Yarrowia lipolytica: one gene and its partner. The protein of the gene in region 1 interacts with the protein of each later gene in a biochemical or structural test. Links are inferred from orthologs where the notes say so. Each region holds a gene or a part of one and is shown in the gene's direction. Other genes may lie near its edges.

What was found.
Region 2: the proteins of YALI1_C03988g (region 1) and YALI1_F38670g form a complex in vitro, tested with the Saccharomyces cerevisiae proteins (2 studies listed by BioGRID, with this or other methods). The link is inferred for Yarrowia lipolytica from reciprocal best matches to the Saccharomyces cerevisiae genes GCS1 and ARL1.

What each region holds. Positions count from the first base shown.
Region 1 is NC_090772.1:396,889-400,897, reverse strand, and holds YALI1_C03988g (uncharacterized protein), read left to right. Parts: upstream 1-2,071; coding exon 2,072-3,424; downstream 3,425-4,009. Other genes in the region: YALI1_C03969g (uncharacterized protein), read left to right, coding at 3,922-4,009. UniProt on the Saccharomyces cerevisiae protein: GTPase-activating protein (GAP) for ARF1 and ARF2. Involved in intracellular vesicular transport. Required for transport from the trans-Golgi network.
Region 2 is NC_090775.1:3,865,967-3,868,938, reverse strand, and holds YALI1_F38670g (uncharacterized protein), read left to right. Parts: upstream 1-1,777; coding exon 1,778-1,781; intron 1,782-1,909; coding exon 1,910-2,457; downstream 2,458-2,972. Other genes in the region: YALI1_F38684g (uncharacterized protein), read right to left, coding at 1-496; YALI1_F38680g (uncharacterized protein), read left to right, coding at 678-799, 898-1,207. UniProt on the Saccharomyces cerevisiae protein: Recruits golgins such as IMH1 to the Golgi. Can bind and hydrolyze GTP. May be involved in trafficking events within the endosomal system.

The sequences.
Region 1 (4,009 bases):
ATCTTCACTGTGACAGTCAATCTTCTCGCAATTGGAAAGTGTTTACACAACTAGAACCGTTCAATGATGATATGCCTCAAAAATTATAATAAGAGATCTCCTAGGTGAAACATTTGATTCAGTTTAATTGGTTTTTGCAAACTCTCGGGGTATTTTTGGGTCCAGCAAGGTTGGTCATCACGTGGGATCGACCCCATTGATCTGATAAAATCCCCAGACTTTCCATTGGCTCACTTGAGTGGAGTAACAAATAAGTCCTCGTACCAAGGACACCTCGGCAGCCATACAATCGGAGATATAGCCTGTATTGGACATGTATGCAGGCCGAAAGAGTCACATTTAATATTTCAATAAGTACGATGCGAGTACTCATTCATACATACTGTACTTGTGCTGGGGTTTACAGAATCAAGATGAGGCTCTCATTGGCCCCTCTTCTGCCTGCCTGCCCATTCAATCCGACCTCCAAAAAAAGCAATATGCTCAGTTAGATCACCTTACTGTACAGTAGTCCTAATTGCTCATAAATGACCTAAAGCGGAACGGCAAAAATCACGCTATCGAGTACATAATAGTGTACGGTCGACGTTCCAACATGACACGAGGCTCCATGATACTTGCGCTGTGTGCCATCGATGTTTTGTCAACATGTGTCATCGGGGTTTGTCAACATTCCGCTGTGTATTGATGCATACAGAGCTGCGCACCACAGTTAATTAGATCTAAGAAAAAGGACCGTAGACCCTACACGCCTGCTACTACTGCCGGTACCGATTTATAATTGTAGTGCCCTCTGGAGTACCCGCTCTATCCGTGCGACTCGCTCAGAATAAATGAACTCTGATCTGGTTTGTGTTCAAATCGAGTGGAACCACGACGAGGAACGAGGGGAACAATCGAGACGAAGGTCAAGGTAGCAGTTCGGTCATATGAGTATCCAATTGAGAGGATATCACAGTGATGAAAGCGGCAGAAGAAGTTATATAGAGATGTTCTCATATGTTGCGGGATGGAAGAGAACAGGCTGCACAACTCTGCCCCTGAGATCATGAGCTTTTCAATGAGACATTGTAATCCACTCTTGGATCCTAAATGCTTGTTCCTGTACTTGTACCTATAGATTCTGTTCAGGTCTCGATTTTGAAGACGCTACTACTGTAGAGTATGGGACTTGTACTTTTACTTGTTGTCGTGCAATAGAAGCTAACCTGCTATGGAACCATGTCAATGAATAGGCCACGAGACCACCAACATGTCTATAAATATTACAATAATGCCTTCGATATAAGTAACAATTAGAATCATTTAATAAATACGACGCTCTTATGGGGTATCTAATACATACTGTACGGTAAAGTTCCAGGTATACAGTAGTAGCGCATACAAACATGTATGAGATTGATGGCAGCAGAAAATTGTGATGATTACGAGTCCGTCGTACCAATACAGAGCCATCGTGTATCCATCTTTTCCCTTCCTCTCACCTCTCCTTCGATCCTCGGTGTCGGTTTTGATCCATCTTAGACTGTCTGCTTCTTGGTGGACCGTAGGTCGTCGCATTGCTGCAACACGAGACTCACATTCAGTACAAGAAGCATGCAAGCTACTGTAACCCAGTAACAAGTAAAAGTACAACTACAAGTACAAGTACAAGTACAGTATGTACAGTACATACAGTAGAGACTAAAGACACAATATAACATGTCCCACACTCAATAGTCCATCTCTCCTCGCACCAAAGACCAATCTACCCCAATCTCCATACTACAAGTCACAGTTGCTCGTATCATGTTACACGACATGTGGAAAGGCAAACTTTGACTTGTCTCTAAACACGTCACGTAAAACGAAATTACCTGGTACACGTAACCTGGTATTTTCAAGATAATAGACGGATATTGGCAGGAAGTGTGGGTCAGGTGACTTCTCCGACACCCAAGCACCCCCCTCCCCAAGCGAGATATATATGCATCTCCACCCATCCCCACATGTACACCTTCCTACATTGTCGTGAGGTTTTGACAATAAACTTCGACAAGACACAACCTGTCATCTTACAACCTACGACACAATGCCCAACTGGACTGTGGATCCTGCCAACAAAAAACGGCTTCTGGCGCTGCAGAAGGACGGTGCCAACAAAAAATGTTTTGACTGTGATGCCCCCAACCCGCAATGGGCCTCCCCCAAGTACGGCATCTTCATCTGCCTGGAGTGCGCCGGAGTGCACAGAGGTCTGGGAGTGCATATCTCGTTTGTGCGATCTATCTCGATGGATCAGTTCAAGCCCGACGAGATGGAGCGGATGGAGAAAGGTGGCAACCAGCGGGCCCACGAGTTTTTCGACAAGGCCGGTATGGCCAGAGATACTCCCATCAAGCAAAAGTACAACTCGGTGGTGGCTCGAAATTACATGAACTACCTAACCAGTGAGATCGAGGGCACCGAGTACGTCCCCGAGAAGGAGGGTGCCACCCCCAGTGTTGCCCCCTCCAAGTCACGTGACTCCAGTCGATCTGGCGAGTCCGATCTGACTCCCCAGGGCTCTAACGTGGCCTTTTTCGAGGGTCTGGGTGCTAAGAACGCATCTCGATCTGCTGACGTTCGACCTTCGGAGGGCGGCAAGTACTCCGGATTTGGCAACACTCCCGCTCCCGTCTCGTCCAACAACCGACCCGGTGCCACCATCACGATGGACAACTTCCAGGCCGATCCTCTGGGCACTCTGACCAAGGGCTGGGGTCTATTTTCCAAGACCGTCAGCCAGATGTCGACTGAAGTCAACAACCAGTACATTAAGCCTACTGTCCAGAACATCCAGGAGTCCGAGTACACAAAGACTGCTTTGGAGCACGCACAGAAGCTGGGAGAAACCGTTCAGAAGGAGAGTAAACGGGGTCTGGACCGGTTCCACGAGTTCGTGGAGGGCAACGAGGGCGATCCCCAGGGCTACAGCCGACCCGGCGAGTCGCGAAACCTGATCCAGTACGAGGACGAGTCCGATGAGGATCCCTTTTCTCATCTCAAACCCAAGGGTAAATCCAACATGACTGGATTCGGAAAGACTGCCGACGGTGAGGACTGGGGCGAATGGAACGAGTGGGACGACGATGGAGTGGAGGACGAGGACGAGGACGAGCAGGTGGCCAAGGTCACCAAGGACGCTGTTCCCCCTGCTGCTGCTCCTTCGGCTACTGAGGCCCCCAAGGCGAAGAAGCCCTCTGCCAAGGAGCGAGCTCTGGCTGCCAAGGCTGAGGCCGAGAAGGCTGCCAAGGAGGCTGAGGCAAAGGAGAAGACTGAGAAGGTTGATGGAGCCGAGGAAAAGGAGGCTGAGAAGGTCGAGGAGCAAGACAAGGAGCCTCTTGAGGAGGTTGAGCCCGAGGCTGAGCCCGAGATGGAGCCCAAGTCTAAGAAGGATGATTAGATGTATTATAGATAGAATAAGCGTTGTATACAACTGTGTAGGGGGTCAATGTTGCTGTGGTTCTGCATACTGCTCGTCGGTCTCTTTTGGCCAGAGCTTTATAGGAGAGTAGGAAGATACTGTATACTTTTATATGCATACTGGAGTAGATGAAATCACTGGTGATAAATCATTGGTGTCATTGAGGCACCGCAAGCAATGGGGCATTTCAAGCTCATGGACACCCGCACATCCAAGAAGAAATCACAAGATGCCCAAACACAGTTCATTAACCCCTAAGAAGATCCTCCTACAGTGTGTGTGTCCAGTATGTACGTTCCACACTAAACAATATAAAAAAAAAACACTCGCGGATAGAGATTATAAAACATACAAGATGCGAAGAAAAATTGTATGCTGCTCATTTCAGAGAAAAATCGTCCTTCCCTACACCAACACAATCACCGTCTAAAGCCTTCTCTCGTCTCTCTGGCTTACCCTACCAACCCTATCCCAGCATGCATATCGTGCATGACCGACACCACCATCACCATTCTCATCACGACAATCGCAGAATGAAGCTCAACACTCTGATTCCATTGGTGG
Region 2 (2,972 bases), on another chromosome or scaffold:
TAGGATCCAAAGAAATATATATGGGCTTTCGATCACATTTTGTAGCATAGGCTAACAAAATCTTAGCCAGGGAGGTTTTGCCCGAGTTGGGGGGTCCAGCAATGAGAACTCTAGGTCCAGCAACGTCCTTGGGCTTCTGTTCAGCCTCATTCCGCATCTTCTCCAGAGCAAAGTGCAGGTTGATAGCCATGGTCATGTGGGGAGTGTCTTCGGTTGTGTAATCAGACATCAATCCCTTGGGTCCTGCAATTGCCGTGTATACGAACTGGCAGCCCTGCCATGTGTAAATGCTTCCTTTTCCTTGGATACTGAGCTCCTTGTTAGGTGGCAGCTCTGTACCGAAGATTTCAGCGGTTCCAGATTTCAGCGTGACATGTAAGGTTCCCCCGATGGCCACTTCGTATCTCCATTCCGTCTCTGGTTTGAGGTCGATGGTATGAGTGGATTCTGTAGTGTTTGTCTCAGTTGTTGAGAAGTTGAGGCCAGGTAGCGACATAGTTATTAGTGGTGTTTGTCAGAGTGTCAGGTCTTTTTTTTGGGTCAAGTTAGTTTCATGCATGCCGAATATATCATACAGTTCGTGAAGTAGTAAGATTAGTCAGCCCGCAGAAGTTTGCATAAAGTTTCAGTGTGTGAACCATTGATACTGAGACCGAATCGATATCACCTTCAACGACATGTCTCTCAGCGCACAAGCGGAAAGCCGAAAAGAGAAGCTCGCGCGTATGCGGGCTCTCCGGGAGGGCAAGAAGGTCGATCCCGTGGAGGCCGAGGTTGCTACACGGGAGGAAAAGCCAACGTGAGTATGGGGATGGGGAGATGCGATACGACTTGAGGTGACACGGGGAATGGTCTTGGATGAAGAAAGAGAACAACATCGAGCATTCGCTAACATAGATTCAAGGAACGAAACTTCGATCTGGAGACGGAGTCGACCAAACTGGGATACGATGCCAACCCGACAGAAGGACAGGAGACTGTTGAGCTGCTAGGAGCTGAGGAAGAGGCAAGGACGATCCAGGAGCTGATGGAGAAGAACCAATCTGCAGTGGACTATCTAAAGTTGCAGCCGAAACGAGCCAACTGGGATCTGAAGCGAGACCTCCAGGAGGATCTGGATCAGCTTGACAGAGAGACTGATCAAGCTATTGATGTGCTGGTTCGGGAGCGAATTCGAAAGGCTACTGGGGAGGAGACTGAGGGGTGAATTGGCTCAGTCTATTTGTATTTTTACGTAATATTTATTTGCATCTTCATGAGACGAATGGGAAAAAAGTGGTTATCCAAAATAGTTCGAGTAGCTACTGCTGGAGAGAGGTCATGGCTATGGACGCGCTTGCGTATTATAGTATCTGTGTAGGGTACGATGGGTAGAAAAACACCAAACTACAAGTATTGTTGCAGCATAGCTACGTGTATCTGGACACGAATTTGACCCAATTTATAGATCGAACACTCCTATATACAATATTAGCCAAGACGCTATACAATCCCTTTGTTGGATCTCTCACGAAAGTTAAGCAGCGATTTACTGTTCTGAGGTGATTATACAGGTCAAAAGTGGGGAAAAAGAAGGCTGATTCTGTATTGAAGGAAACATACGAGTCATCCGAACGGCCCGGTTCACCATCAACCGTTGTAGACGATTCGTATCCCTGCCGTAGTGTGTCTAGTTGCAAAGAACATAAAGTTGCCACGTGATGTGATATAGTAAGTGCTACATCATCACAATGACACTAACCTTCCTCGGCGCAAAGAACAAGACACAGCATACAGGATGGGTGAGTAAGAGTGAGAAGGGGTGGGGATGGAGTTACTGCTGGCGACTTCTATGAAGCCAAGCCTCGTGAACAATGACAGCTGGGACGAAACAGGACTGACACGACCATCTGACCCTCTACTAACCCAGGAAACGTTCTAGGAAGCATGTTCAGCCGTGTGTGGGGAGGCAACAAGGAGATTCGAATCCTGATTATTGGATTGGACGGTGCCGGCAAGACCACCATTCTGTACCGGCTACAGCTTGGTGAAGTTGTGGACACAGTCCCCACCATTGGTTTCAACGTGGAAACCCTGACTTACAAAAACCTCAAACTCAACGTGTGGGATCTCGGAGGACAGACCAGTATCCGACCATACTGGCGATGCTACTACGCCAACACAGCTGCTATCATTTTTGTGGTCGATTCCACCGACAAGCAGCGAATCGACATGTGCAAGGAGGAGCTGCATTCCATGCTGGAGGAGGACGAGTTACAAAACGCAGTGCTGCTCGTTTTCGCCAACAAGCAGGATCAGGAGGGAGCCATGACCGCGGCGGAGGTATCCACTGCTCTCGATCTCGTTTCGCTCAAGGATCGAAGCTGGAGCATCATGCCCTGCAGTGCTCTGAAGGGAGAGGGTCTTAGTGAGGGTCTGGACTGGCTCACTGGTGTTATTAAGGAGGAGGTATTGTAAAAGGACGACTATCAAATGCGAACGCGCGGCGTGTCATAAGTCATTTCAGGTCCTTACTAGACTGTGTAGTTAACGACAATATGAATGTTTACATATACACGTAGGGCGTGGGACTGTGGGAACCCAGAGAGTTTGTTCACTGGTAGCTACAGTAGTGAGAGGCACGAGGGCCCAATGTTTTGTAATGAGAGACTACCTTGTATGGGTGTGGTTTGTATTGTGCGGTGATCAGTTTATTCAGGATCAGATCAGAGAGAGCCATGCTGACTTATACACAACATGTGTCTAACGAGTACTGCTGGAACTCGATAAAGGAGCTTATAACGTAACCCGTTCCCTGTCACATATACTCACTCAAATACCGGCCACTGGATGGACGTGTGATCCCACCATATGCAGTTGTTAAACCGTTGAATACAGACATATCCGAGTTAAGACATTCAAGACGCTGAGAGCTTATCCTCTGGGGGAAATTAGAGGCTGATGAATATTGTGGCTGATCTGATAGTAAAACG